4 linked regions of the Drosophila melanogaster genome follow. The gene in region 1 interacts genetically with each later gene. Each region holds a gene or a part of one and is shown in the gene's direction. Other genes may lie near its edges. The genes, in order: Pdha, SREBP, ND-42 and Marf.

The links.
Region 2: of Pdha (region 1) and SREBP, changing one suppresses a phenotype caused by changing the other (phenotypic suppression), as found in Drosophila melanogaster (one study listed by BioGRID).
Region 3: of Pdha (region 1) and ND-42, changing one suppresses a phenotype caused by changing the other (phenotypic suppression), as found in Drosophila melanogaster (one study listed by BioGRID).
Region 4: of Pdha (region 1) and Marf, changing one suppresses a phenotype caused by changing the other (phenotypic suppression), as found in Drosophila melanogaster (one study listed by BioGRID).

What each region holds. Positions count from the first base shown.
Region 1 is NC_004354.4:4,699,788-4,706,586, forward strand, and holds Pdha (pyruvate dehydrogenase E1 alpha subunit), read left to right. Parts: upstream 1-2,537; 5' UTR 2,538-2,744; coding exon 2,745-2,804; exon of another isoform or gene 2,805-2,904; coding exon 2,905-3,105; intron 3,106-3,767; coding exon 3,768-4,332; intron 4,333-4,407; coding exon 4,408-4,730; intron 4,731-4,800; coding exon 4,801-4,983; 3' UTR 4,984-5,478; downstream 5,479-6,799. Other genes in the region: CG7024 (uncharacterized protein), read left to right, coding at 5,777-5,899, 6,218-6,799.
Region 2 is NT_037436.4:19,791,056-19,800,057, forward strand, and holds SREBP (sterol regulatory element binding protein), read left to right. Parts: upstream 1-2,879; 5' UTR 2,880-3,104; intron 3,105-3,168; exon of another isoform or gene 3,169-3,270; intron 3,271-3,508; 5' UTR 3,509-3,644; intron 3,645-3,843; exon of another isoform or gene 3,844-3,846; 5' UTR 3,847-3,854; coding exon 3,855-5,337; intron 5,338-5,397; coding exon 5,398-6,203; intron 6,204-6,272; coding exon 6,273-6,664; intron 6,665-6,724; coding exon 6,725-6,851; intron 6,852-6,905; exon of another isoform or gene 6,906-7,004; intron 7,005-7,077; coding exon 7,078-7,245; intron 7,246-7,318; coding exon 7,319-7,684; 3' UTR 7,685-7,924; downstream 7,925-9,002. Other genes in the region: Ir76a (ionotropic receptor 76a), read left to right, coding at 8,223-8,277, 8,329-8,570; CG14102 (uncharacterized protein), read right to left, coding at 8,594-8,704, 8,765-9,002.
Region 3 is NT_033777.3:22,024,766-22,030,442, forward strand, and holds ND-42 (NADH dehydrogenase (ubiquinone) 42 kDa subunit), read left to right. Parts: upstream 1-2,943; 5' UTR 2,944-3,255; coding exon 3,256-4,383; intron 4,384-4,450; coding exon 4,451-4,546; 3' UTR 4,547-4,628; downstream 4,629-5,677. Other genes in the region: CG6028 (uncharacterized protein), read right to left, coding at 1-89, 161-288, 375-639; Cchl (cytochrome c heme lyase), read right to left, coding at 1,370-1,625, 1,683-2,272; CG13409 (uncharacterized protein), read right to left, coding at 4,941-5,314, 5,381-5,483, 5,541-5,677. UniProt on the Drosophila melanogaster protein: Accessory subunit of the mitochondrial membrane respiratory chain NADH dehydrogenase (Complex I), that is believed not to be involved in catalysis. Complex I functions in the transfer of electrons from NADH to the respiratory chain.
Region 4 is NC_004354.4:6,363,048-6,372,001, forward strand, and holds Marf (mitochondrial assembly regulatory factor), read left to right. Parts: upstream 1-2,901; 5' UTR 2,902-3,185; intron 3,186-3,585; 5' UTR 3,586-3,809; coding exon 3,810-4,116; intron 4,117-4,311; coding exon 4,312-4,601; intron 4,602-4,671; coding exon 4,672-5,010; intron 5,011-5,284; coding exon 5,285-5,296; intron 5,297-5,478; coding exon 5,479-6,405; intron 6,406-6,474; coding exon 6,475-6,645; intron 6,646-6,745; coding exon 6,746-6,942; intron 6,943-7,011; coding exon 7,012-7,213; 3' UTR 7,214-7,877; downstream 7,878-8,954. Other genes in the region: swa (swallow), read right to left, coding at 634-1,169, 1,258-2,097, 2,279-2,549; PpV (protein phosphatase V), read right to left, coding at 8,682-8,954. UniProt on the Drosophila melanogaster protein: Mitochondrial outer membrane GTPase that mediates mitochondrial clustering and fusion.

The sequences.
Region 1 (6,799 bases):
GAAATTTGCATACACACCATACTCACTCACACACACAGACGCTCTCTGCACACCTAATGGGTACACAGAGAAAAATATCTCATTGGCATGCTTTTCCCAAAAAAAAAAAAAACAATGGTATTCCATAACTTCGGTTTTTTAAATTGTCAAAAAAAAAAACGCAGTTTAAAATTGCATTTGTTAGGTTTTTCGTACCGAAAATGTTTTCTGAATATATTATATGATGAAATATTGCAAAATAACAATTTATCTTGCAATATAGCTATTATAAATGATTCAAACTATCGGATGACAGGTTAATAAGGTTGTCAAATTTTGTTGGATTGTTTGCAAAGGATATTACAAGTGATTGCTAATTTCTTTCTGTGTGCTTAAACAATGTATTATTCATTGCTTACGAGCAAACCAAATCGGTGCGTGTTTGGACATGGATTTTTCCCACCTCCCAACCAAGCCATCCCCCCGCCCCCTCTAAACCTTTATTTACTCCTTTGCCTGGATTTTGCCAAACAACGGCAAGCCAGCAAGAACATGAAACCATTGCAATAAAACCATAGCAGCAACAAATTACACGCAAATCAAATATTATGTGTATGTGTATATGTATTGTCCATCCACAGCAGCAAAGTATGCAACAAAAATTTTTGTAGAAACTGCAAGCAGTTTTTTTTTTTTTTTTTTTTTTTTTTTTATCGATGATGTTTTTATTATTTGATCAACGCACTGTTACCCATGCGGCAACTTAATTTGATCTGCTTAAATTATTTTATTTTACAATGTGTCTTGGTTACTTAAGACTAACAGATTTTTAATCCTAAAAAAGATAGGGAGAATTATAATAGTTGATATAACATAGTAATTATTATTTATTTGATTATTCTAATGAATTTTAAAACTAAGACTTTCTAGGTCAAAACCAGGTTAGGGAGGTCATGAGGGTGGTGTGCAAGCAGTAATAAAACAAAAAGGCGGAGAAAGTCGAAAGCAAAAGCAAAGACAAAATAAATAATTATCATCTTGTCGTTTATATAAGTGTGTGCTATGTGTTTCTCCGAATCGGATTTATGTTATATAAAACAGAAGAACAGTAACAATTTAAAGGCAAATTTCAAGGAATGAAAGCGAACAGTAATAAGAAACAAGGAAACCAAAAAGTAAATATATATATTCATGCAAGAAATACAAAATAAAGTAAACATTGGTGTAAATTAAGCAAGAACCTAAGTAAAACCTACTAAAAACAACCAAAAAAAATAAGAAGCTTAATACGTAATTTCCTGAAAACAACAGAAGACATATGCAGAAATCACACACATTTACCGTTACTTTTCACACACATACAGCACCTCTCTCTCTTTAGCTATTGCGTTTTAGATTATTGCTCAGCACGTTTTTGCGTAGACACAAAACTATTTATGCTAACGGTAAGATAGAACCTCCTCTCTCTCTCTCACCCACACACACACACACCTCCCCCACTTACACACACACAAGCACTCGCAAAAACAAGAAGACGAAGAGAAAAACTAAATTTTTTTCTTATAATCGGAATGCCGGATTTCTAACGGGAAAGGAAACAAAAACACAACAGGACTTCTAATAAGTGTTTATACATACAAATATATATATATATACATGTACATGTATACATATGAAACAAAACAAAAAACAAAGCAAAGCATAATTTTTTGTCATAATGCAAAATATTTGTGTGAGAAACCAATTTTTGATGTAACAGAAAAACGCGCGAAAAATTGAATATGTGTAACGGTAACAGAGCAAAAGATAGATAAAAGAAAGTAAAAAATTTATTTCATTCGCTTAGTTTTTCCCAAACGATCGATCCATTTCCTCATTTTCCGTTAGTAACTTTTAAACTCAAATCTTTTAGCTGCCATTTCTAAAGCAAAAAAAAAAAAATGAAACAACAAACCGAGAAACCAACAAATACAAAAACTAGTTTAAAATCTTAGTTTGTAAAGCGTTTATTTGAATTTAACTGTTTAATTCTACTTTACCTATTTCTATTTAACTGGTTTTTTGTGCAAGGAACAAACATTACTTAAGTTTTTGTAAGAGATTAGTGAATTATGTGAGCTGAGTGCGATATAGAGCAGTATTGCAATTGCAACTGCAATCGCAAATGTGGATTTATGGAGGCAATTTCAAGTAACAATACGAGTAAGAAATGAGAAAGCAAACAAAAACCAAATGAGATCTTCAATGTGAAATAAAAGTACTTCTTTGAAAACCCTCGTTTTATTTGGGCGGCAAAGTAATATAAAATGTGATTGAGTAAGTATTTATTCGAGTATTTCAATAACCGCCAAACACTACTATTATTTTGATATAACATTGTGTGACACATTATATAAAAGCTTATTGAATATTTTACGTAAACATTTATATTTCAAGTTATATTGAAAAAGAAAGTTCGATAAGCTAATTTAGTATTTTTTGAAAACAGGGAAAGCTGCAGTATTTTATTTAGGGTCACACTAATAGGCCAAGTGGTGCGTTATTTTTCGCTATAACGCCAAACGGTTGTTATAGTTGTGCAATATAGTAGTTGATAAACTAATCTCGCTACCTTTTTTTCCGATTGTTTAACTTACAACGACGCGCGGCGGTGCGACTGAGACACCAGATATATAGCGTGCGATTCTAGATCCGGACAATCCGCATATAGAAAGCCCCCATTCACATCCAATTTCTGTCAGTCGAACGAGAATAACACAGCGAAAATGTTGCGTACTCTGTCACGCGTTAGCGAATTGCCCATTATTGTTAAGCAACTGCAAAAAGTACGTAATCCCAATCCCGCTTTGCACCCACTAACATTTCTAATTGTTGTCACTAAAAATGCAATTGAACAAATCCATTCGATAATGAAAACACTAAAAGCGTTGCCATAACAACAACAACAACAACATCATCATCAGCGGATGTCGGATACTTAGCAACAACAACAACAACAGCAGCATCGATATCATCAGGAATGGGAGATATTCATCGTCGTTTTTCGGTTTATTCCAGAATGCAGCCCAAGCAGGTGTTTCGAAAACCAACAATTATGCCACGGAGGCCACCGTTCAAGTGAATCGGGTGCGTATTATAGCATTAAGTACTTGTAACTCAGGAAAATTCAAAAGTCGGAAGGGAAAAAATACGGTTACATAATGCGATTTTCGCCAGATAGCAAACGGTTTGCGTGTGTGTGTGTGTGTGTGTAAGTGCAGGGTTGCATTTTGCCGGTCAATCCGCTCATTTTCAAATGACAAGGTCACGCAGTAATTTGTAGTTTTCCGTCTCCCACGCTCTTTATCACCGTCTGCCTTTTGCGTGGCCGACGCGTGACTGTTCACGCACCATATAACATATAGTCTTATCAACGATCCGCCGATTTTCACCCTCTCTCTCTTTCTCTCCGTCTGTCTGTCTGGCTCTCTGTTTACGTCGATTCTCACGCCATAAATTAGCCGCCATAAATCCAAATTTGGTTTTTGGAGCATACTTCCGAAAATCCTCGATATGTGGTTATAGCTCTCTATAGATTAGTATACTTTGATTAGAGAAGCTTGAAGCCTATGGTTATTTGGTTTATCCAATCAAACTGCTATCATTTTATTACTTATCATGCGTTCCAAACGTTTCCGTTACGTTCTTATCAGATGTGTGTGTCAGTTGTTAATGTAAAAGTAGAAAACGTTTTTAAAATTAATGAAGTTTAGGGATCTAAATTCTAAATATGCTTTCCAACTTTGCAGCCCTTCAAGCTGCACCGCCTGGACGAAGGACCCGCCACGGAAGTGAAGCTGACCAAGGATCAGGCCCTCAAGTACTACACACAGATGCAGACGATCCGTCGGTTGGAGACGGCCGCCGGTAATCTGTACAAGGAGAAGATCATTCGCGGCTTCTGTCATCTGTATTCCGGCCAGGAGGCATGCGCCGTTGGCATGAAGGCGGCGATGCGGGATGTGGACAACATCATCTCGGCGTACCGTGTCCACGGATGGACCTACCTGATGGGCGTCTCACCCAGCGGCGTACTGGCTGAGCTCACCGGTGTCCAGGGTGGCTGTGCCCGCGGCAAGGGTGGCTCCATGCACATGTACGCACCGAACTTCTACGGAGGCAATGGCATCGTGGGTGCTCAAGTTCCTTTGGGTGCCGGCGTTGGCTTGGCCTGCAAGTACAAGGGCAATGGCGGCATGTGCCTGGCCCTCTACGGTGATGGTGCCGCCAATCAAGGACAGGTGTTCGAGGCTTACAACATGGCCTACCTGTGGAAACTGCCTGTGATCTTTGTCTGCGAGAACAACAACTACGGTGAGTGCTGTAGAAAGTGGAACAATGCTAAAAGATATTTACTTAAACCAAATGTTGTATAATTATACCCATTAGGAATGGGCACCAGTTCTGAGCGTGCTTCCTGCAACACTGATTACTATACCCGCGGCGACGCTCTGCCCGGAATCTGGGTGGACGGCATGGATGTGCTGGCCGTGCGCAGCGCCACCGAGTTCGCCATCAACTATGTGAACACTCACGGACCTTTGGTGATGGAGACGAACACGTACCGATACTCTGGACACTCCATGTCCGATCCGGGCACATCGTACCGCACACGCGAGGAGATCCAGGAGGTGCGCCAGAAGCGTGATCCCATCACCTCCTTCAAGGAGCTGTGCATCGAGCTGGGTCTGATTACCACCGATGAAGTTAAGGTGGGTTTGGCTTATAGGGTTTTATTTTTGTTATGAGTTATGATTGCTAAAAGAAAAAAACATCTTCCAGGCCATCGATCTGAAGGTACGCAAGGAGGTCGACGAGGCCACCGCCTTCGCCAAGTCCGATGCCGAGCTGGGCGTGAGCCACCTCTGGACGGACGTGTACTCCAACAATCTGGAGCCCAAGCTGCGCGGCACCATCGCCTACGATATTGATCACATCCAGGAGCGCAAGGGCGTCAATCACTAAGTCATCGGGCCAACGAATCTGATTCGGGAACTCACAAGAACCTTAAACGAAACAAGAAAACCGAACAGCAAACACAAATCACTGACAGACAGACAAGAAGACACAATAACTCAGAAACTTGGACACAAGCGAAATCTCTAGATCATAAGCCGAAAGTTGAACGATGAGAACCCCGTAGAACGGAACGGATCCGAAGAGACCCACAAAAAGCTTAGCTAATCGGAGCACTCCAACCACACATCGTAGCGCACCACATAACTCTGGGGTACTGCATTGGATATTATATTGCGAACGTGTTCAATAAGGATAAAGCGAGGTGTAAATTGTTGAAAATATAAAAATCTAGAAAAATTAATCCAAATTAGTTTTCTTAACAAAAGTGAATCAAGTATGTACTTTTGAAATGTGAAAATCTCAGTCTGTTTCACCTATACTTGCACTATAGAATTTTGATAGATTTATAAGATATTAATAAACGGAATAGATTTAATAGATAATTCGATTTGTGGAAGAATTACAGTTCGAATCAAAGTAGTATTTGAAAAGGAGCAGTTGTCAGCTCCATAAGCAATCCCAAAATCGTTATATTTCCTTCTCGTTCTGTTTAGTGACAGTTGCCATCTCTGTCGATTTGCTTATGATTTTACTGTCGATTTCTTTTCGGTTGAGTACAAATCCATTTTTCAACAATTTCCGATCATATTCAAAATTTTAGTGCGTGGCAATTGCCCATTTGGCTACAAGCTCATTTTAGTGCCCCGGTGTTTGGGAATTGGTATTCGGGCAAGGGCCAATGATGAAGTTCAGTTGTGTCCGCGTGGCGATGAGATGCAGTGGAGCCCACTCCATCCTCGAGAGAAATATGCTCTGCAGGATAATAGGGCGCCACAAATGTAGCTGTTTGACCCTGGAGAACGTAAGTGTTTTGATTATCACAAGAAGGTCAATGGATAAGTAAATACCATTGAAAAAAGCTATATCGTAAAAGTTATATTTTTCATTTTGAATTAAATTATGTACTCTGAAAAATGTTTAAATATTTGCTGTTAAGTATAGCTGATATAAATCTAACATAGAAACGACTTAATCTGCTCATCGCGTAGACCAACACTGAATATAGACATAAGCTGCTGATATTTTTCAGTGCTGCACAACACATAGATTCTTCTTGCGTTCCTACTAGAGCAGCATTCCGAAATGGGTTACTTTAATGATTTTGTTATGCCCGTTGCAGACGTTCAAGTGCTACGACCTGGAGAATGGACCCACAATGGACGTGGAGCTGTCCAGGGAGGACGCCCTGACGATGTACACGCAGATGCTGGAACTGCGCCGGTTCGAGACGGTGGCGGGCAACTACTATAAGGAGCGAAAAATCCGCGGCTTCTGCCATTTATATAACGGACAGGAGGCCGTCGCTGTTGGCATGAAGCAGCGTTTGAGGTCCTGCGACTCGGTCATAACGGCATACCGTTGTCATGCCTGGACCTATTTAATGGGTGTTTCCCTTTACGAAATAATGGCGGAATTGTTCGGAGTTCGAACTGGATGCAGCCGGGGCAAAGGTGGCTCTATGCACATGTACAGCGATAAGTTTTATGGCGGCAATGGTATCGTTGGTGCCCAAGTTCCGCTCGGCGCGGGAATTGGCCTCGCGCACAGTTATCGCAAGGACAACGGCGTGTCGGTGGTCCTTTATGGTGATGGTGCCGCCAATCAGGGCCAGATCTTTGAGTCCTTCAACATGGCCAAGCTGTGGTGCTTGCCCTGCATATTCGTTTGCGAGAACAATCACTACGGCATGGGCACCCACGTT
Region 2 (9,002 bases), on another chromosome or scaffold:
GGAGAATAGAATAATACTGAAAGCCCCAAACGAAAATCGGGCGAGCGACACCGCATGCTCCCAGAGATGGCACTTTGGCTTTTTTCACTGTGTTAAGGTAGGCATATGAGGACGCTTTATCAAACAATTTTAGTTTCGCTCAGTGTAGGATATCCGAAAGATATCCATCAAGATATATTATCAACACTTTTTTAAAATTTTTAAAACTAGGTTTAAATGGATTAAAAGATAAATAGTCAAATTATATTGAGCAGATACATTTTGGAAAAACATAGTCCTCATTTAAAAATTGCACGATAAAAGGTATAACTAAGTACTATACTAAGAAAAGTAGCGTTGACTGCCACACACTTAGCGGTTTTTGCTATCCGCCAAAGATTTGCTCCTCTCACTTGCCATCACTGATTTCCGTGCTCTCGGAGATGATATGAGAACAGTAATTGACGCTGCCGCTGCGGATCAACATGTGTGTGCTGTAAGAGAGCGGGAGAGCGAAATCAGTTCTCTCGTTCTCCCGCTCGCACACATTCATGCAATGGGCATCTGCAGCGAATTCTATTTTTAAACTTAAATTAATATTGTTCTTTATTTTATCAGCAGCGGCGCGAAAATAAAGCAGGCAGCGTCGGCGTTCGAAGGCGGCTGCTGTGAGGGAGAGGCAACGGGAGCGGCGGCGGAGAGCAGAAAACAAATAAATAACACGAGAAAAACTAGACGCTGCTACTGCTAATCAGGCAGAGAAAAGATATCACTGTCTCCTTCTGTCTCCATCCCTTTCCCACTCTATGCCGCTCTATCGGGTGTGCGAAAAGCGAAGCTCAAATGCTGTCGCAGTGCTAGTGCTCTGTCTCGCTTCGGCTCTCTCCATCTTCTTTGCCCGCTATCACCGCTTGATAAGAAATGCGTTAATCTTTATTAAGCGCTGCCGCTGCTAGTGTGTGCGTGTGTATTGGTGTGTATTCCGCTGAGCTCGTGCGTGTGTGCGTTTGCGGAGTATTTACATGGGAGTTTTTCATTTTCTGCTGACAATTTCCGTTGGAAACTTTTCGCCAAGGAGGTGCTAACACTAGCAAAACTGGCAAAGTCCAAACGGAAAATGTAATTTATGCAGAAAGCCGGAGAAACAGAAGCACAGAGAGTATGAGAACAGTCAGAAGAAGAAATAGAAAAATCGGACCAAATCTACAACAACAGCTTGTTGGATGACTCAATATTGCAGTGAAATAAAGGCTCTTTTGTATCAAGGAAAATAGGAAATGATTAATACAGGAATATTTCCAAGTTGCAAGACAGTTGGTAAATAACAGAGTCATAATCACAGCGTTCGGTAATATATTTAGTTTAACATTAGGTTAAACTAATTTTAGTTATTTTATATTTAGTTTAACATTAGGTTAAACTAATTTATTGAATAAATAAAGTCTGTATATTTGGATTTGAAGCATATCCATATATTACCGAGAATAATAAAATTATGCTGCATCATACATACAATCGGATTTATAAAGATTTTGATAAGCTAAGGTGAAGTAGAAATATAAAAAATAGGATTTAGTAGTGAAATAGTCCTCTTAAGATACTTTTCCTGATGACCGTTGGTTGAATGTTTTCAGTTTAATTTAAATAATAGGCATTTGATATAAATAAGCTTCGTCTATATTGAAAACAATACACCTACACTTAAGGCAACCAAATTTGCAGTTAGTATTTCCAATTGGCGACCGTAAAGGTAAACAAAAATGTAAACTGTTGCAGACAGCAAATGCGGTAAATCGCAAAAATCGTAAATAAATCCTAAGATTGTGCCAAAATAAAACCGTTTTAAAGGTTATTCATAGTAGCAAGTGCAAGTTTGTCGGTCGAAAATGGCAACCCTGGCGAGACAGAGCGAACAAGTGTGAGCAAGAGCATCAGAGAGAGGGCAGAGGAGATCAGTTGTTGTGATAATGCAACGGGTGAAGAAAACAAATGCAAAAAGTTTCTGCGTGTGAGCGCGAAAGTGCGTGAGCGGCGGTCCAAACAAAAACAAAAGCGCGAAGCAAAAATGGTTTTCTTTTTGTTTCAGTTTATGTTCCTATTGTTGTTGGTTGGTAGGTTTTTTTGCTTTTCCAACGACGTGACAAGTGCAAAGAGCGCCAAATTGTACATTTTTATGCATGGGCCGCCAGTGCATTGTGAAACTTTTCCGACTTTGCCTTTATGGCTGTGCATTTGTTTTATCACTGCAGCACTTTTGCCATTGCGATCGTGTGGGTGCCGCTACTTTGTGTGTGTGCATTTGTGTCTGCGTTTTCGAAAGAGCAATTCAGAACGCAATTAACACTGACGGCGCCCATGCTGGTTATCAATTAAATCACATATTCACTTTGTACCATTTTACTAAAAACGAATAAAGAACCTCATCATGTTGCTCTTTCCAAACGGTTATTTCGAATTTACCGCTTCTCTGGCTCCGCGATTCGTCCGCGTTTCCCGTTTTCCGTCGCGACTACCTACCCGATTTTGAATATGTGATGTAGCAGTGTGGCCAGTGCGTTGTGCCAATTTACCGGAACTTTTTGTCTTCAACATTCCTTGGTATTTTTAAGTAATTCTAGCGCGGTCACACGGCTCTGGCGCTCTCTTAATTATTCTCTTGAATGTAGGTAGCGGTGACATCCACCACGCTCAGCGAGGACAACCGCATATTTTAAATTACACTTATACATGTTGAATTTATTTCCTTACTCTGCGTGTCAGAATCAGCGTTGATATTTTATGGCAGTTTTATAAAATACATCATAAACTATTAAATATATATATTTCTATACAGGCATTGTAAGTAATACAGCTGTTTCTTGATGCCAGGGAGTCAAGACCTGAACCAGTTCCTTAGGCCCGAACTACTGCTCGTCATCCCTGAAGAACAAAGTTTACTGCAATCGAAAGCAATTGTTTATTAAGCTGCAAATATACTCGTGAAAAAAATCAAAACAACCATGAACAACAAGTGTTGCAACTATTACTAACTAGTCGCTAGTTTAAAGCAAAGTGCGTTGACATTAACCAGTTATGGAAAAACAAAAGCACACGTGAACTAAGAAAACAGATAGAAGGTGGTAAAGGTGCGTTTCTTTTTCTGCTAATAATGTAGATAGTGTCTAATAGATTAATTTTCGCGGAAATCAGATCGGGAAACCAGTGGAGCCTGGGAAAATGCCCTGTTGGAGCTCCCAAAGGCCAAGTGGCGTCACTAAAAACATCGTATGATCCGGTCGAGCCCTCTGATTGGTTGAAAGCGCTTACGCATGCTTTCCCGGTCGCGTATGTGTGTGTGCAGTGCACAGTGGGCCAAAAGCGAAGTAAAAGCTTAGACCGTTTAAAAATATTCGCCTCTATTGCAATTTGCATTAGTCTAGCAAAACTTGATATAGCCAAAATGATCTCAAGATATTATATTTTGTTCCTATTTTAACTACGAGCAAACAACAAACAAACAAAAACAAGTTAACACATATGCCATTTTCAGGTCCGACTGTGATTCACTTTAGGTTTGAGTACAATTAAAAGATTTATTTTAACTTTGTTACGTATATTACAAATTTAATTATAAAAACCCCTTTTAATCTGTTATTAAAGCTGCAAGTGGCCACTGTGGAAAAAGGGTAATTAAATGAATTAATGTGATTATAAACATATTAATATTTGTTTTTTCCGGCACCAACATACTTGTCCCACTGTTGTTATTGCGCCGCATAGAACTTTAATAAACAATCCTCAAATGTACAAACATACATACATAAATATGCACATACGTGGGCCCGCCAGTATTTAATTACGAACCGTTTTTGTCCCTTTCATCAGCAGCATTCGCAATGGACACGACACTGATGAACTTAATAGACGCTCCGCTGGACGAGTCCATGGATTTGTTCAAAGCGGAGGATGTCTTCGAACCGTTCGACGCCGACCTGCACTCGGACATGCTGGACATCATCCTCAACGACATGGACCTGGCGCCGACGCAGATGTACAACATGCTGCTGGACGAGCCTCGAACGCATACCCAGCAGACGCAGTCCGTGGATCAGCAGCCGCAATCCGTCGAGCAACAGCCGCACGTGAAAAGCGAGCACTCTTCGCCAGTGCACATCAAGGAGGAACTGCATCAGCAGCAACAACAGTCGCCGCTTCTCGTCTACAAACCAGATCCCCTCATAGCCACAAGCTACAATTGTCCCCAGCAACAGCCGACGGGCCTTTTGAAGGCCGCCCAACCAACAGCCACCATACATCACATGGACGCCCAGCGGATGCCGCCGAACACGGCGGTGTATCCCCCATCTCTGGGCAGTAGCTTTGTCTACCAGTCCATGTCCCCGCCCACGTCGCCGGTGGAGTCTGCGAACCAGAATGTCAATGTCATGCAGCCCGTTGCTGCAACTCCTGCTCCCGCTTCTGCTCCTTTGCCCCAGCAGTCGTATCCGCAACCCTTCATTACGTACAACTCTAAGGCCGGAATGACTTCCGATGAAGCCATGTACTTCCTCTTGCAGCCCACGGTAGCCAGTCCAACCCCATCTCCACCTGTGGCTCCACCACCGACAAGCACAGGTAGTCGGGCCAGCAAGGTGCGAGTGGCACCACTGGCTCCGTCACCTGCCGCTATGGAAGTCCAGGGCAAGGTACCTATCAACCGGGTTCAACCCAAGGTGAAGGAAGTAAAGCGCTCGGCCCACAACGCCATCGAGCGGCGCTATCGCACCTCAATCAACGACAAGATTAACGAGTTGAAGAACTTGGTAGTGGGAGAGCAGGCCAAGCTGAACAAGTCCGCAGTGTTGCGGAAATCCATAGACAAGATTCGGGATCTGCAACGCCAGAATCACGATCTGAAGGCAGAGTTGCAGCGCCTGCAGAGGGAGCTAATGGCACGCGACGGCTCCAAGGTGAAGGATTTACTTCAGCTGGGCACTCGGCCTGGTAGAGCATCCAAGAAGCGCCGCGAGAGCTCGCAGACCTTTACCACGGATGCCGGACTGACGCCGCCACGCAGCGATGAATCGGATCCTTCGCTCTCGCCCATGCACTCGGACATCTCGTTGCCGCCATCACCCTATGGTGGATCCACCGCCAGCTGTAGCAGTGGCAGCAGCAGCAGCAATGAAGAACCACTGGTGGTGCCCAGCTCTATGCGCGGCATGGCCACCCACTCTCGCCTCGGACTCTGCATGTTTATGTTCGCCATCCTGGCCGTCAATCCCTTCAAGACCTTTCTCCAGCGCGGCCACTATGACAGTAATGACGATCTTGGCGACATGAGCGGTCAAAGACGCATTCTCTCTTACGACGTGGAAGGTAGCTAGCCTAGCATCCAGATGTTGTTAAATATTGCTAATGGGTTTCTCCTTGATTTAGGTGAAGGTTTTGCTGTCTGGCAGCAGAGTTCCTGGATATGGCTATTGAACTTCACACTGATGCTTGGATGCTTGGTGAAATTGCTGGTTTACGGTGATCCGCAGCTGGACGCGCAAACGGACGCCTACTGCCAGCACAGGCAGCGGGCTGACTTCTATTTTAGCCAAGGACAGTCGTCTCAGGCCTACGCCGGTTACCTCAACTGTCTGCATATGTTTGGATTAAGTCTACCGGCGTCGCGCTTGGAGTGTTACTTGCAGACCACGTGGCAGTTCCTTCGTTTTCTTTTCCATCGCCTCTGGCTGGGTCGGGTGCTGTCACGGCGGTCCGGTGGGCTGTTTAGCAACGCCGCCAGCAGGAAACAGGCGCTGGCATCTGCACGCGAACTGGCCCTGCTCTTCAACCGACTGAATCAATTGCAACTGACTGGAAATGGAAGCCGCGGTGACATGAACGGCATTATGATGGCACTATTCGCAAGCAACATGGCTGAAGTGGCGCACAATCTACTGACACCGCGCGAGACCATCTGCATCCACGTAATGACAGCGTTGCGAATGAAGCGCAGTGCCCCAAAATGGTTGCAACAGCTCTTCGCCCGATACTACATGAGCCGGGCTCGTCAAGAGTGCGGTCTCACTAGGGCCACCGAGCAAACGCAGGAGCTACGTTGGGCATTCACAGCCTATGGATATCGCTACTGCGCCACGCACGTCTTCACGTACGATCTGAGCGACTCCGGCGAGCAGGATGGATTCTTCACACGTCTTAGGAATCCATGTGATCCCGCTGCCCACGTCATTAAGGTAAGTTGGACTGAATTTCTAGTGTATCGCACACAATTCAAAACTAATTGTTTCTTTTCCAATAATCAGCAATATCGAGAGCATTTGCTGTTTAAAGCCATTCAGTGTCTGGTAGGAGCGGGCCACAAATCGGGAGGCCTGCCCACATCTTCTGTCAGCGGAGAGGCGGAACAGTTGCAGCAACAGCAGCACAGCGGCACCATTGTCAGCAATGTTCTTAAGTACACGTCCCTCCTTAAGGACACTCTCTGGGCTGATGAGGATGAGCGGGATACAAACGTGGTGTGGTGGGCCGATGTTTTGGAGACCGCAGTGCACTGGCTCCTTGGTGAAGACACGCTGGCCGAGCAATTGTACGGCAGGATCAAGCAAATGCCCACGCAGCTGCAACAGTGCGGCGAAAACGATCATCTGCCCAAGGCGCTGCATGCTGTGCTGCGAGCTAAGATGATCTTACTAAAGTGAGTAAAACTAGAACAACTAATGAAAAGAACAAAACTAATCATCGCACACCTTTGCAGAAACAATGGCAACGCACTGGACAAAAGTCTCAAGCAATTGGTAAACATCCTCTGCGATGAGTCGAGTGTGGAGCTCCAAGAGTGCTTGACTGTCAACCGGATCACCGACGCCAAGGGTATAAAGCTGGTAAGAATGTGTGCACCCCGAACAATCAGTTTTTGGCGACTGAGTGCCACCAGACTCTTCCTCTGGAGATGACACGAAGGTGCATTGTAGTCGCATTGTCTGTCCCAATTGCTTCAGGCAATACAACTTCAGTGCAAGCTCTGTGCATTTCACATACAACGCCGAATGTCTCTGGCAAAAGTCGCCAAGTTTTAAGAGCGCACTAATCATTATTTCTTCTATGCAGCTTTTCCAGTTGCTTACCTGCGATTGGCTGCTCGAAACTAGGACTGCTCTGTGGGAACTGGAACACATGAATATGGAGGACGATGGCTTCTACCAAGTGCCAGGTGAAGTGCTCGAGAAGTTCCAGACCGATTTGAACTCGTTGCGCAACATTGTGGAGAATATACCGGTATATGCAAATCCTTACCCTTCCAATATGTCTGTTCCGTAACCTGAGCTTGTGTAAACTTTTGCCATTACAGAACGCCCAATCGCGCATATATTTGTACGAGGCAGTTTGTCGCCTGATGGCTGGAGCCTCACCGTGTCCAACGCAACAGCTCTTGGACAGGAGTCTGCGATCACGCAACGCCCACTCGTCCATCTTCTGCGGCAGCAAGGATCGGCGGCAGCAGAACTTCGTGGGCGGAGAGCGGGAACGGGCTTCGGCCATGTACGTGGCCTGCAAGTATCTCCCGCCTGCGCTGCTCAGCTCCCCGGGTGAACGTGCTGGCATGTTAGCCGAGGCGGCCAAGACCCTGGAGAAGGTGGGCGACAAGCGAAAGCTCAAGGAGTGCTACCAGCTGATGAAGTCGCTGGGCAACGGCATTGGCAGCGTGAAGGCTTAGGATAGTAGTGAAGTACATAATAAGTGGCACGAACGTGGTGTGGATTTTCAGCAAATGAATACCCGTTTGCTATTCAAAAGAATTACAAATGCCTAGGTCTTTATAATTACGCTATTCCTCTGTTTTCCACGCCCGGTTATGCTTAGATTGTAATTTTAAAATTATTTAATATGGACATTTTATTTGTTTATTATTTACCGTACTTGTTAAACGTATTTATAACAATAAATATTTTAACAGATTTACAAGGCCTTTTATTGGTTACCGGTGCATGCTCCTAATTTGTTAAATATGTACATAATTCATGGAAAACGTATTAGTAGCGTATGCAATCTTTTTCCTTATATAAAATGAAATATTCTTCCATTCGCGTCGGTCATTTTGCGTCGGCGGAGTTTTGTTAGTCGGGTGCATCACAGGGTGAGCTACCAAGCACTATATATATATATACAAAAACAGAATGTATATGTATAATAATAATACACACAGAAAATAATATAAATTCCTCAGGCACACTTCAAGGGAAAAAATCTGTGAAATGGAAAACTTGCTGGTAGAGTCATATTACTTTAGCACTGTGCTTAGTTTTTTTGGTATGTTGTCCTTTTGTTCAGCATGGACAACCTTTTAAAAAATATAGTTAGCTCAGCAGTTCTTCGCGGACTCGCATGCCACTTGTATTTTTTGGCACCCGGCGTTTGATTTTCGTCTGGAAACGGTTCATCCAATGCCATTAATAATCATGGACTGGCACAGATGGGCCAATCGTTCCGATCAAGATGTTTATGATTACAAAATAAAGGAGGATGAGTTCGAGGGGAAGGGAATCCCCTACAACGATTGGACTCTTAGACTGACTGTTGCCATCGAAAGGTCGCACTGTGAGGTGAGTCTTTTGCTAAAGTAAAACTAGTCAAAGATAGTATCACACTTAGAGTAGGTATCCCGCTGACAGTGATGACATGTGGCTCCATCAAAACTCACTTGCAAGTGTTTATCATTCCTGAACTTATCTGTGAACTGAAGGGTTTTTGGTAAATTTTGGTTGTTCCAAATAATTGTGTATCCATTAAATTATACCTTTTTCCGAGTATCCGGTGTCTTAATGAAATCGAGCGTTAGCAAAAGCCGGTCTTTCCGATCCGCTCCTGCATCAGCCACATTGTCCAAAAATTGATTTACATCCTCGATAGGCATCTTCCAATGTTTTCCCAATCTCAGATGATTTAGGTTATAGCAATTTTGTACTAGCAACATAAGTTGGCGACTTGGGTTTGCAGGTGAGTCAATGCAATCCAGGGCCAGGCACTCGAGATCT
Region 3 (5,677 bases), on another chromosome or scaffold:
CCGAAGACATAGTCCATGGCCTGCGATTTGGGCACCTGGCGGGCGACCTTGCCAATGACACAGACCAGCTCAACCTCCCAATCGATTTTCTGTGGAATTTTTTTTTGGTCGGTTGGTTATCTCGATGAGCCTATCTCTTGTTATCTCTTGCTTCACTTACGCTGCTGGCCGCATGAGCGATGACATTATCTTGAGGACCCACCAGGGCATTGTTAAACTTGCTAAAGAACAATGGTTCCTTGGGGGTCGGCTTGTTCTGCTCATCGCAGTGGTCCTGGTAGTTCAGACCTGCAAGCAGATCGAGAATACGTCATTTTGAAGGTCAGGGTCCAACTACATATGTTTATACATATGTATGTTAATTCATTCTTTACCAATGCAGATGATCTTGCCGGGATCGGTAAGAGGCGGCAGCAAAGTGACATCATCATTCACCTCGAGTCGCGGCTGCTTTTCGGCCTTCTTCGCCAGTTCCTCCAGATTGGGATCCTGGGCAATCAGGATCTTTAGATCGCTGGGCACACCCTCCAAGCCGGCAAATTCCACCAGCGACTTTTGATCCTCGGACAGTAGACCAAGTCGCTTGGCCAAGTCACCTTTTCGCAGGTATTGAACGAACCTCATTCTGGCAGCTTGCATTTATGACTGATTTACGTCGAACGAATCTATCGCGGCTATCCAATTAACGCTCCAGTGGCCAAACTCGAATCTCACGTAATGAGGGCACCAGCAATCAGTTAAAGAATTTACACGCGCTTTTCAACACTGCCAGACATTAACCCCCTGAAGCCGCAGGTGTTAGAAAAGCATCATACATATAAACATACATATAATGTTATGGGTTGCATATCAACTTTTTATCAGAAAATGTATGTTAAAAAAGTTAAGAAACGTCTAAAGTTATATTCTATTTACTATACATTTTTTAAATTTGTAGTAATGATAAAAAAGTAGTAAACGTATTTTTATAATTTCGCAATCATTTTAAAGAGCATATAAATAAAATATAAAACTAAAGATTAAGAAAAAAAATTTTTACAGGCATTTTGAACAGATGAGAATTCTGCATATACATAAGTATATCAATAAAAAAAAACTTTAATTAATATATTCCTCCACAATGCTATCAACTCGTTACTGGATAATTCGAAATCCTTAAAAGGATTTAAGTAAAGAATAAAATAAAAAGCAAAACCACATTCGAATTTTGGTGTTCAGAAGTCAAGATTCAACATTTATTTAAAGAGAGGGCTCAACATCGTTTCGCTTCGCAGCGTCTTAAACGCATTTAACCAAACTCCCTCTTCCATCCATTCGATAACTTAAGCCGATTTTGTACCTATAGCGATCATCTAAATATGCATTCCATCTAGTCGCTACCAGCGGTCACTTTGCCGCCATCCGCGCTGCCAAACTTCTCAAACAGCTCGTACTTCCAGCGCATGTAAGCTACGCGCATTCTGTCCCAAACGTTGTCCACGGAGTCCATGGCTGGGCGCACATCCAGCAGGGCAAAGCGGTAGTCTTTGTCCACCAGTCCACCGTCGTAGTAGTCGATGACGTAGCGCACATCCTTGCCGCAGCGATCGACTATCCAGTCATGCCTATCGAATGGCAGCTCGTATCTGTAAGACAATTCGAACATTAATTCAGGTGAGATCTTCCGTCTGGAGTATACTCACCCCAGCCAGCTGCGGAATCGAGCGCGCGGACTGAAGTCCTTGGCCTTGCCACCGAAACTCTTGAGGCGCGGATTGCCGCATTCCTTGGCGTGAAGCGCCTCCCACTTAAGTACCTCCTGCCAGGCCTGCTCGTTGTTGGCATTGTGGATGCGTATGATGTCGCCCATGTCCTTTTGCGATACGTCCTCGGTCTTCCAGCGCCAGCCCTTGCGTAGCATGGCGTTCCAGAACATCTGTTGGCTGGGATACTGCCAGAATTGAACGCTGCCATCCTCGGTGACTTTGGGAATGGTCGACGTCTGGCGGTCGGTGGGCAGTGGAAAGGGCTGATCTGCCGCCGGCTGTTGGTTTGCCGGTGGCATCATATTCAGCGGATTAACGTCGCTGTTGTCGTGCTGCACCGGACATTCGGAAGCGGCCTGCATCTTGGGATGTGGGGGTACGGCGGAGGCCGATTTTGCATCTCCATGCTTCTGATGCATGGGGCATTCTGGTGGCGGGGCACCACTGCCGCTCATGTACTTGGCGTGGTCCACCGGCACACTCTTCGTGGCCTCCATTTGCACTCGGGTGATGGCTGTATTGCCCATTTCTGCTGGGGATTGGTTAATAACAAAATCTGTGTCACGAGGAAAATCGCATTAGTTCTCAGTTGCGTAACTGTAAGGAGTGGGTTACACTCCCAGTGCTGGGCCCCAACGCCAGGACTTACTCGATCCTAATGGTCACAACTCTCGATATTTGTCGATCTTCTCCTGGAGCCTTTCGCCTTAAATTTTGATTTATATTTTCGTTAGTTCATCGTTAGAACTTTTGAGCCCAAAATGCAGCGAGGTTGTGGTCAGGGCTGCCAGACCAACGGAAAGTGGACCAGTTGTTTCTGCACCGTGACAATATGTTAAGTTAAAAATTTAAAAAATCAACTCGCACCGCACGGCAATGTGAGTTTATGGTGTGTGTCTGTCTACAAATGAAAAGCATTGTTGAATTTATTTCAAGTAAATTAACTTGTAGTTAAACACCCCAGCTGTGCTGTGTAGTGTTGAGCAGTCGCTTTGCGATATTTTTAAAAAGTAAAACAAATACATTTATACATTAAAATGTTATTTTGTAAGTGTTATATAAAGTTTTTAAAATACTGGGTTAAATTTCATTTCATATGAAATTCTTTCTGATTCTGAGAAAAGTCGCAGTTAAAGCATAGACAAACATTTTGATTTTACATTTTTGATATTTGAACGGATACCTTGACAGCCCTATTCGGGGAGTTTTCCAACACCAACCATAGCCCGAAATTTGTTTTTGGGTAGACTTCCGATATTTAGATTGAAAAGTGAGTAAATACCACCGGATAGAGCATTAAAACCGACAATTTGGGTAAATCTATGGAGCGCCGCAATGCTGGCCAGCAGAATGCAACGAAAAGATCCGCATATCTGCAGTTCTAGGGCAGAGATTACCGCACTACCTGCGTAGCTCCTGTGATGTAACCACACGACAAATTGCCACTGGACGAGATATAATTGTTATTATCTTGTTTCGTTTTTGTACTGACCCTTGTTTTCCCTTCAGAATGACCGCCGTGTTCCGCGTAGGACTGGTGCGGCTCGTCAGCCGCGCCACACAGTCGCCCAATCTACTCCAGGCGCAGACGAATGCCCTGCCTGCTGCCTTCCAGCAGCGATGCAGCATCTCCGGCAAGACGATGCGAGGTGGACCACGGGTGCCCAAGGCCGCCCCCTATCCGTACAAGACGAAGAAGTACAGCGTGTTCAATGCTATTTTCGACAAGACCTCCAAGCGTTTTGACGAGAACTCCAAGGTGATCTGTGTGGAGGGACCCATCGCGGCCGGCAAGTCAAAGTTCGCCAAGGAACTGGCTGAGGAGCTGGACATGGAGTACTATCCGGCAGTTGATCTGGACCTAATCTACATCAATTCGTACGGCTATGACATGAGGAAGTTGGATCCTCAGTTGCCGCCCAGCTGCCGAAGCTACGATGTGCGCAACTTCTGCCTGGATCCCAGCCACGATCTGGCTGCCCAGTTCCAGATTCGCATGTACATGCTGCGCTATTCGCAGTACATTGATGCCCTGCAGCACGTCCTTAGCACCGGCCAGGGTGTTGTCCTCGAGCGCAGCCCCTACTCGGACTTTGTCTTCATGGAGGCCATGTTTCGGCAGGGTTATCTGTCACGCGGTGCGCGTTCCGTGTATAATGAGCTCCGACAGAACACCATCGGGGAGCTGCTGAAGCCGCATTTGGTTATCTACTTGGATCTGCCGGTCGATGCCGTGAAGAAGCAGATCAAGGCACGCAATGTGGACTACGAGGTGCAGTCAAAGGTGTTCAGCGATGCCTACTTGAGCGATTTGGAGCAGCTGTACAAGCAGCAGTACCTCAAGGACATCTCCACCCATGCCGAGCTGCTCATCTACGACTGGACAGCCGGCGGTGAGACTGAGGTTGTGGTGGAGGATATCGAACGCATCGACTTCAACCAGTTTGAGGCCGATATTCACAACAAGAAGATGCTCGACTGGCGTTTCCCGCTGGAGGCCGAGTGGTGCGAAGCCCGTATCAAGTACTGCCATGAGAAGCCCGATCTGATGAATTACTTCAATGTGCCGCGTTTCGATGTCCCGGAGCTGGTGCGCAGCGCTGACGACGGCAAAGTCTGGCGTGATGTCTGGTTCAATGTAAGTTCGGTGTTTCCATTTCCCTGTTCGATTTCTTTTCACATTAATTCTGCCCCTTTGCACACAGGCTCCCGGCATGAAGTACCGTCCTGGCTACAATGCAGACATGGGCGACGAGGGTCTCCTCACCAAGACGAAAATAGGCATCAACCAGGGCATCTAGAGGGTTTTTGCTATGCTTTCGAGTTGAAATCACCTGGCGAAATGTGTTAATTATCTAATAAACAGTCTAGTAAAATAATCAGAACCCAATTAGTTAAAAAGCGAATATGGTAAATATCGATTGTAAATACTTTTCATACAACAAAACTCGAACTATTGGGTTTATTTATACTTTTTTTTTAACATAAATTTCGAATTCAGCTTAATCATGAATACCCAAACATATTTCGATCCTCTCCAGTTTCATTGATCAACCAGAGATTAATTTTTTGAAATTTTAAGTTAATTTATGCATTATATTAGGGAATACTTTGTACACATTTAGCACTAAAACTTCAATTGCGCTATGGAACATTTGGGTATTCGTTCTGCCGCGGATACTTCTTAATCGCCGATCAATCGCTGTCGTAATCGTTCTTTCCAGCACCGCCGCCCACAGAGGTGAGCGGTCGCCGTGACTCCTCGTCGGAACCGTAGACAACATCCTCGTCGGAATCGTCGATCATGGAAATAGCCGGATTATCCTTGGTGACAGCCAGCTCCGCCTGGGCGAACCGTCCATCTGGCGAGTACACATACGCCATGGTGTACAGGTAAAAGTTAAGCAGTCCGTAGAAGCACATAAACTGCGCCGAACTGCGATAGGTGGTGTTAAGTGAGGCGACAAAGTTATCCTCCAGGATGCCGAAGCCAAAGCGACACGTCGTCACCGTGATGGATATGGACAGGACGAACAGCATGAGCAGCGTGAGAAACTTCAAGCGCATATCTGGCCAAATGGATTAAGCATTATAATAATAAGATCAGGCTTGGAGCACACTGCATTATGTCTCACCAAAGTACGGCATGGAGCGCAGCTCGGTGTACGCCCGCAGTAGCAACAGCACCAGATAGAGCACATACATGCAGCAGGCGATGTAGAAGAACATCTTGAAGCCCTAAGAATGGTTTGGTTTTCGTATCACATTTCATTAGTACGTATTATGTATACCCACATTGTAGTTTTTCGTATCCACAAAGTGACTGTATGTGGGATCCCTCAGCTCGTTGCATTTCTCCCACGTGGCCAAAACGATGGCGCACAGCCAAATGGGCAGGACGACGATCACCTTGACCAGGTAAAATCGCACGA
Region 4 (8,954 bases), 1.7 Mb from region 1:
ATTTCTCCTAGTTTAGTTAAGCAAGTTAAGAGAGTGGGATGGGGAGGGGGAAAAGCTTCTTACCATCGACATCCCCATCATAGTCGTCCTCATCCTCCTGATCGCGACCCACGGGATCGCTTACGCATGTCTTGGCGCTCTTGTTGGCCACATCCGCATCAAAGTCCGGATCCGCGTAGCAGATCTCCAAAAATGCGAAATGGTGCGAAACATTGGTGACGAATGCTGAAGCTCTGCGTAATTGAAACTGCCAGTGTGGCCGAAGTCGCAAAGCAGCCACTGTCAATGTAACTGAATCTGCATGGGATTCACATGATTTCAATACATGATATATCAACCCGAACAAATCGGATATAAATGCAAGTGTGCAAAATTTTTTTATTAAAACAAGTACAAATTTGCTTGGATAGAAATAAATAATACGTTTCACTACACAATTCGCCAAAAAGATTATTTTCCTTTGGAGGAAAGTTACTAACGAATTTCAAATTTGGTTATACATGCACATATTGGTTAACTGAATGCTATGGCATTAAAAATTTGGACTAATTGAATCGACATAACGCGACATAAAATAACAGGATATGATAATACATACAATAAATAAATAAAAGTGGATGGTGGAAGGCTGGACTAGCGCTGGTTCCTTTGGTCAACGAACTCCTCCTCGGGCATCGCAGGCAAACCATCCTTGTATGTGACATTGCTGCGGTTCAATGGATCACCATTACGGCAGCGAACGCAGGGCCCCAGGAATCGTAGCATCCGACTGCCCAGTGTCGTCCTTTTACTCCTAAAGTGGTCATGCGCCTCCAAATGCGACATCGACATCGAGTGGACCAGCAGACGCGTCTGACTATCGTTGATGCTCTGATTATGAATGGTGTCATGGCTCTGATTGCGCCCCTGACTGATATTGAAGCCCATCACCTCGATGACTCGGTTGTTGCGCTTGTCAAAGTAGTACATGCCCTCATGCTGGCCCCATTGCCTGGGCGAGATGAGCTCCCCCTGTTGTTCCCACTGCCGCCTGGAGCTGGGTCGCTCCTCCTCGTGCGCCTCCACCTCGATGGCCGAGTCGTTGCTGCTCGGCTGGCTGGTTTCCGAGTTGTTGGGCGCCGGGGTTCTTCTGACCAAGGCCCTGGATGAGGTTTCCACACGATGTTCGCCTTGAATAGAAACCAACAAAAATCCATGTTAGTCAATCTTATTCGAAATAATCTACAGATCTAATAAAATAGCATTGCGATTGCTTACCACTACCGCTGCCATCAGCTTCGGTGCTAACGCTGCTAAAGTCCAAAGATTGTGGATGAATCGCGCGTTGGACCTGGACGGGATTCTGGGCCACTCGGGCAGAAGGCGCCACACTGAGCAGTGCCAACTCGATGGATCCTTTGCTGCTGTTGTAGGTCAGGTCGCCCAGGGGATGGGGTGTGACCAGGACGTTTCCGGAGGCGGGTATGGTGTCCACCAGGAAATCCGTTTGAGTGGCCTTGGCACTGGTCGCCGATCGAATGTGGTACATGAAGTGGTGCTGTGAGTTGTCCTGCTGGCGCCTAAGCTTCTGCTGGCATTCGCTTAGCTCGGTGCGCAGGGTCTCGAAATTGCACTTCATCTTCACAAAATCATCTGTCTTTCTGTCCAGTCGTTCCTGGACATACTCGTTGAAGCCCTGCAGACGCTTCGCTTCTACTCTCAATGAGTTGATCTTTTGCTGCAGGCTCTCGTTCTCGGCCAGCAATCGATCAAAGCTGCTGCTAGAGTTGTTTGAATTGGAATTGTAATTCGAATCGGAGTTGGAGTGAGTCTGGCAGTTTTTGTCCACCTTGAAGTCACCATCATGGACATACACCTGCTGCAATGTGGGCGTTAGACTCTCCGGCATAGAGTTCACTCGCTGGAATCCGGCGAACTTCACATTGCGTCTCTTTTGGTCCTGCGCCTGGATCTCCGCTATGTACTGGCCCACCTTGCTGGTCACGTGCTGGAAGCGGCGCTTCGTGTAGGCCGAATGGATGTCCTGGTAAGAGACCGCCTTGCTGGAGCGCCCGCTGCCCAATGGAGCCTTCTCGCAACCCAGTTTATGATCATCGCCTGGTTGAATAAGAAAGGATACATGTTAGCACTAGCTAATTGACTGTGCCCATTGAATGAAGTACCCATTATACATCGAGACATGGAAGTACCAAAATTATACATATATGAGATATGTTTGATGGGAATATTTCTCCCATTGTAGTTAAGCAAGTGTAGAGAGAGAGCGAACACTTCTTACCATCGACATCCTCATCATAGTCGTCCTCATCCTCCTGATCACGACCCACGGGATCGCTTACGCATGTCTTGGCGCTCTTGTTGGCCACATCCCCATCCGCATCAAAGTCTGGATCCGCGTAGCAGATCTCCAAAAATGGCGCTGTATCCCGCTCGAAGACTGCGGGCTTATGGTGCTCCGCGAACCAGGTATTCCTGGCGCCACTGCTACTCAAATTGTTCAGCTGGTCAAACAGCTCGTCCGTCGGAAAACTCTCGTCCTGTAGACTCATCGCTTTTTATGCGGAAATCCGAAAAGCGGGGGAAATAATACAATTAACACGAGACACAAAATTACACGCGGATTCCAATTGGAGCGGGAAAGGCGCCGTTACATTCTGGCTAACTGGAAACTGGCTAGTGTGACCATTTCCAATCAGTGAAAATCATTGTCAGGGTAAATTCTATTTTTAAATTAGACAAAATTTAAATTAGACAATAAAAATAAAAATAAGCTAGGTGGTAGTAATTGAAAAAAATTAATTTCAATTAAATATGGCAGCGAATTGAAAAAATACCATATTAAGCTTTCGACTGGCATAAAAATATACTAGACATGGGAAGGCATAAAAATGCACTAACGCCGGATGTCAGCGAACAACATGAGTTGGTCACCTTAACGTTACATCATGTGCATTTAAAAAAAATTAATAATATTAACTAAATTTCGTGAAATTGCTTCTCTGCAACTGGATTCTAGTCGGCAATGTACGGTTATTGGAAGTTCGAACCACGCTTTCCACAATTTGCCATTTGAAAACGCATCAGCTGAGGGGCAGCAATTAAAAGAATCGAACAACCGGAGAGGAAAATAAATACAAATATAAAATAAAACAAATACAAATATGAGCGAGAGTGGCATTAATCAGGTTAGTTGATAGAGCGAGAGGGCAGATTAAACTTTATCAACTCGATTTACGCACACAGATGTAAATTGTCAGAAAAAAGAAAAACCAAAAACATTAGATTATTATACTTTTTTCGCCTATATTTGTTTGCAGCGCAATTGGACCACGTGTGTGTGTGTGCGTGCAATTTGCGTTGCGGTATTTTCCTTTTCGCCAAATACAGTGCACTCTCGACATAGCGAACAACAAATCAATAGTTTATGTTCTCTCTAAGATATACTTAGCAAACACATGCTTGATTTTGTAGCGCACATTTTGTTTAACACTTAAACCACTCAAGTTGAGCTTATCTGGTGCGCACTGTATTCAATCGTTTTGTTTTTTCTTTCGTGTCATAATTTTTCATTTAATTTCGTTTCAGTTTTATGACGTTGATTTTTGAGCAAATACCCCCAAAAGCAATATAACACACAATAAACAGAGATAGTTAAGTTTTGAGTTTCGGGTTGGCGGCGAAGTTGCAGAAGTTGGAAGTCTGAACAACCAAATCCCCTGGGCTGCATACCTTTTGTTTTGTATCGCAATTCTCTTCTTCTACCAAAAAACCATCTGCTAAACCGAATCAACCATAAACCGGATCCCGAAATGGCGGCCTACTTGAACCGCACCATCTCGATGGTGACCGGGCAAACGGGCCCCGCCGACGACGACCGTCACGCCTCCTCCACGGACACGGTGGACAAATCCGGACCCGGTTCCCCGCTATCCCGGTTCAACTCATCGCTGCAACAATCCGGCTCCACAATGGCCGCCAATCTGCTACCGGAATCGCGGCTCTATCAATCCAACGACAAATCACCGCTCCAGATCTTTGTGCGCGCCAAAAAGAAGATCAACGATATCTACGGCGAGATCGAGGAGTATGTCCATGAGACGACCACCTTTATCAACGGTGAGTTATGTATTATATTTTTAAAATACCCAACAGAAGCCAATCCTTGAACCTCTATGTTGCATGGTATTCGATAAGAACGATTATGATTCAGTTCATCGTTTTACAAGGGAAATGGTGAAATTTTGATTCTTATCTAACATCTATTGCCTTTGGCGAAATACCCAGTTAAACCAATGTTCGTTGCTCTTTCAGCCCTGCACGCGGAAGCGGAGATCGTGGACAAGGCGGAACGGGAGCTGTTCGAAAGCTATGTGTACAAGGTGGCGGCCATTCGCGAAGTACTGCAGCGGGATCACATGAAGGTGGCCTTCTTTGGACGCACCTCCAACGGCAAGAGCTCGGTGATTAATGCCATGTTGCGCGAGAAGATCCTGCCCAGCGGCATTGGGCACACCACGAATTGCTTCTGCCAAGTGGAGGGCAGCAATGGCGGCGAGGCGTATCTTATGACAGAGGGCTCCGAGGAGAAGCTAAATGTGGTGGTAAGTGGGCTACTCAGCTCTCCTCTGGGAAATGTGTTTCGCCTAATGACCTAGTGACCCTTGTTTGCAGAACATCAAACAACTGGCGAATGCCTTGTGCCAGGAGAAGCTCTGCGAGAGCAGTTTGGTGCGCATCTTTTGGCCGAGGGAACGCTGCAGCCTGCTGCGCGACGATGTCGTCTTTGTGGACTCACCTGGTGTGGATGTGTCGGCCAATTTGGACGACTGGATCGATAACCATTGCCTGAACGCCGATGTCTTTGTGCTGGTCCTGAATGCCGAGTCAACGATGACGCGTGCGGAGAAGCAGTTCTTTCACACCGTCTCGCAGAAGCTAAGCAAGCCGAACATCTTCATCCTGAACAATCGCTGGGATGCGTCGGCCAACGAGCCCGAGTGCCAGGAATCGGTATGATCTTCTAGGCGGCCCCTTTAGTTAGTCCACAATCTCTGTCAGACCCTGCATTACCATTACATGGCAGGCGAACCATATGCCACATATGTGTACATATGTTCGTTTGCCAGCAGTTTTGCACTGCCACATCTCATAAGTAATTTCTTGGACCTCTTCGTATGCCTGTTGTCTCTCTATGTTGATGTGTGTCTTTTGTTTTTGTTTATTACCCAACCAACCAATCAATCTATCAAACAACCAACCAACTATCCACTGTAATCAACGCCAGGAATTGGCTAAGGTAATGAATGAGCTAGACCCGCTTGCTTGGTCCCACAAAAACCCAATCCACTCTGCTTTGGTCTCTTTATCGAATTGAACCGATGAACACCTCCTTGTTGACTCTTCCCAAAGCAGCTTACTTAGTTGCCCTGATTGATTGATCTATGCACTTTCTAAGACGCTTATTTCATCAATTGATAGGTTAAGTCTCAGCACACGGAACGCTGCATCGACTTCCTCACCAAGGAGCTAAAGGTGAGCAACGAGAAGGAGGCGGCCGAAAGGGTATTCTTCGTTTCCGCCAGGGAAACGCTGCAGGCGCGCATCGAGGAGGCCAAGGGCAATCCGCCGCACATGGGTGCCATTGCCGAGGGCTTTCAGATACGCTACTTCGAGTTCCAGGACTTCGAGCGCAAGTTCGAGGAGTGCATCTCGCAGAGTGCTGTGAAAACAAAGTTCCAGCAGCACAGTTCGCGCGGCAAGAGTGTTTCGGGTGACATGAAATCAATGTTGGACAACATTTACGAGCGGATCACCATATTCCGCAATCTGAAGCAGGACCAGAAGAACCTGCTCACCGAACGCATCCAGGGCACAGAGACGCAGATGATGCAGGTTACGCGGGAAATGAAGATGAAGATCCACAACATGGTCGAGGAGGTGGAGGAGAAGGTGTCAAAGGCGCTGAACGAGGAGATCTGGCGCCTGGGCGTACTCATTGACGAGTTCAATATGCCCTTCCATCCGGAGCGTTTGGTGCTGAACATCTACAAAAAGGAATTGAATGCCCATGTGGAGAGCGGCCTGGGCAGCAATCTGCGCGCCCGCCTATCCATGGCCCTGGCCATGAACGTCGAGTCCGCCCAGACGGAGATGACCGATCGCATGCACGCCCTGGTGCCCAACGAGCAGCTCCTGGCCACCAGCACCAAGATGGTGGTGCGCACGCAGCCCTTCGAGATGCTCTACTCACTGAATTGCCAGAACCTCTGCGCCGACTTCCAGGAGGATCTGGAGTTTAAGTTCAGCTGGGGCATTGCGGCGATGATCCAGCGCTTCACCGGCAAGGTGCGCGAGCGCAGCAAGAAGGGCCAGCCGGCGCTGGTCAATCGACAGAGCAGTATTGGAGTGAGTTTCTACAGTATAGTTGTGTTGCACCACCTTTACTATATCTCTGCCATCGAATCTCGTTCACAGCACAGCGTATCGACGCCGACCACGACGCCCGTGGAAGCCACTCCTGTGTGCCTGCTGCCCGCTCCCGTTGTGGCTGGCATTACGCCCGAGCAGCTGTCGTTGATCTCACGCTTCGCGGTGTCCTCCATTGGATCGCAGGGCACCGTTGGTGGTCTCGTCGTAGCCGGTGTCGTAAGTGTTAACGGTTAAATTATCATAACACCTCTTGTCCTTACCAACGACCAAGCAGGTGATAGTGCATAGCTATGTGATGAAATCAAACCACTTGCAGATGCTGAAAACTATCGGCTGGCGTGTCCTGGTGGGCGTGGGTGCCCTCTACGGCTGCATCTACCTGTACGAGCGCCTCTCGTGGACAAATTCAGCCAAGGAGCGAACGTTCAAGTCGCAGTACGTGCGCCATGCCACCAAGAAGCTCAAGATGATTGTCGACCTCACCTCGGCCAACTGCAGCCACCAAGTGCAGCAGTGAGTATTGATCCCTTAGCGTCTGAATCGCTGATCACTTATCGAATATTCTCTGTCACATCTCAACAGGGAATTGTCGAGCACCTTTGCCCGTTTGTGCCGCACGGTTGATACCGCCACCACGGACATGAATGATGAGCTCAAGACGCTGGACTCGCAGCTGAACATCCTGGAGGCGAACCAGAAGCAATTGAAGCTGCTTCGCAACAAGGCCAACTACATACAGAACGAGCTGGACATCTTCGAGCACAACTATATATCGCCGCAGTAGTGGAACAGTAGTGGGTTGGCTGACCGTGGGGCAAAACACTAACCAGAATGTGGATGATCATAGAAATCAGGCGAAGACAAACACCCAAACGACTACAACAACATTAATGCACCACGTATTTGCTGCTCAACTCTCAGTTTTTCTCTCCTCTTTTATTTTATTTTTTTTGTAAGAAAATGCATGATATGAGCCAATCGATTGGAACCTCTTTATTCTCTATCGTTTAAACAAATCGTTGTTGTTGTTGAGAATTCTTTTAATTCCTAACATGCACTACTCTGCTAGTGTGATTATTTAGTTTTCTTTTTTTTGTAATTGTTGACCCGGAAACGCACGCGTATATATATATACAAATAGAGAAGTATCCAAAACACTGTGAGCATGGCCAGGTGCCATGGAAAAGCAAGTTGCGAGGAATTATGAATGCCACATGATGATGACCGACCCCAGAATGCGAAAGTCACTCACTTATTTACCTCTTTTTCGCCCCTAATAGAAAGTCTAGTACTTATACATATTTGTTTTTGAGTTGGGACGCTAGAATAAATGTTGGGGCAAAGCAAACCAATATATATGAAAACACAATTGTTGAGATGTTGCAAAGCATGAGAATGAGAATGATTCATGAACGAAAACGAAACGAAATAAATGATATTTATGTAAGAAACTCATAATCGAAATTATTTCAGTGGAACTTTGAATATCGGAGCCGTGTCGCGAAAACGACAGAGACGGATGATGGACATTTTGGGAGCGGAATAAGGGACACCTGGTTTTTCCCACTGATTACCGGACAACGCATTTCGAATTGTCTTTTTTGTTTTAATCATATCGTTTTGATCGGGATCACACAATTGGGTTATTCTTAGTTATTCTTATTTCCTTCAAAGCATTACTAATACAAAATGTACAAAGTATATGATTTTTGTGTTTGTTCACAGAAATAAATATGTAGGTTTGGAATACAAAATAACAAAGTGAATCTCTATATACTTCTTGCTTCCATTAGCATCCGTTATCAGTAAATACAATACTTGGATATACAACTTAAAGAAATCAATTCACGTGTTCCCCTCTCTTTGGACTTGCCGGAAACTAATAACAAAGTTTTTTTTTAACTGTGCTCTTAAGAATTAGATATGTGTTTTTGCCATACAAAAAAAGAGACGAAAATTACAAGTTACAGGTGTGTGTGTGGTGTGTGTGGCTTGTGTTTGCTGTTCTGAGTGTTTGCTATGCTTGGGGTGCTCGTTGCGCACGTTTTGAGTTTAAGGCGTTGAGTTCATGGGTGGTCAAATGAAACGGATCAGTCAGTCGAAGGCTGCACTCCGCTCTGCTCTCCACAAGCGTATATGATTATTAGCCACGATGCCGGAACAGTGGGCGGATCGTATTGGATCGGTATGTGGTATGGTATGTGGTATAGTATTGCGTTGCATCACTTCACATCGCATCACATCAGAACGTTTTACAGGAAGTAGGGCGTTGTGTTCTGCTTGGGTATCACACGCTCCGCATCCGGAACAGCCAGGAAGATCTTCGTCTGCCGCTTCTCCGCCGTTTCGAAGCTAAGAATGGCGGCAACGTTGCCGCAGCGATAGCAATAGTTTGGCGCCGACCACACGGTCACCAGTTTGCCATCAAACATATACTTGATGCCCTCGTTGACCAGCTGATGTGCTCGGCATATGAGGTTCAGATTATTGATCGCCATAAAGTCCTTGGTCACATTGTGGCCAAA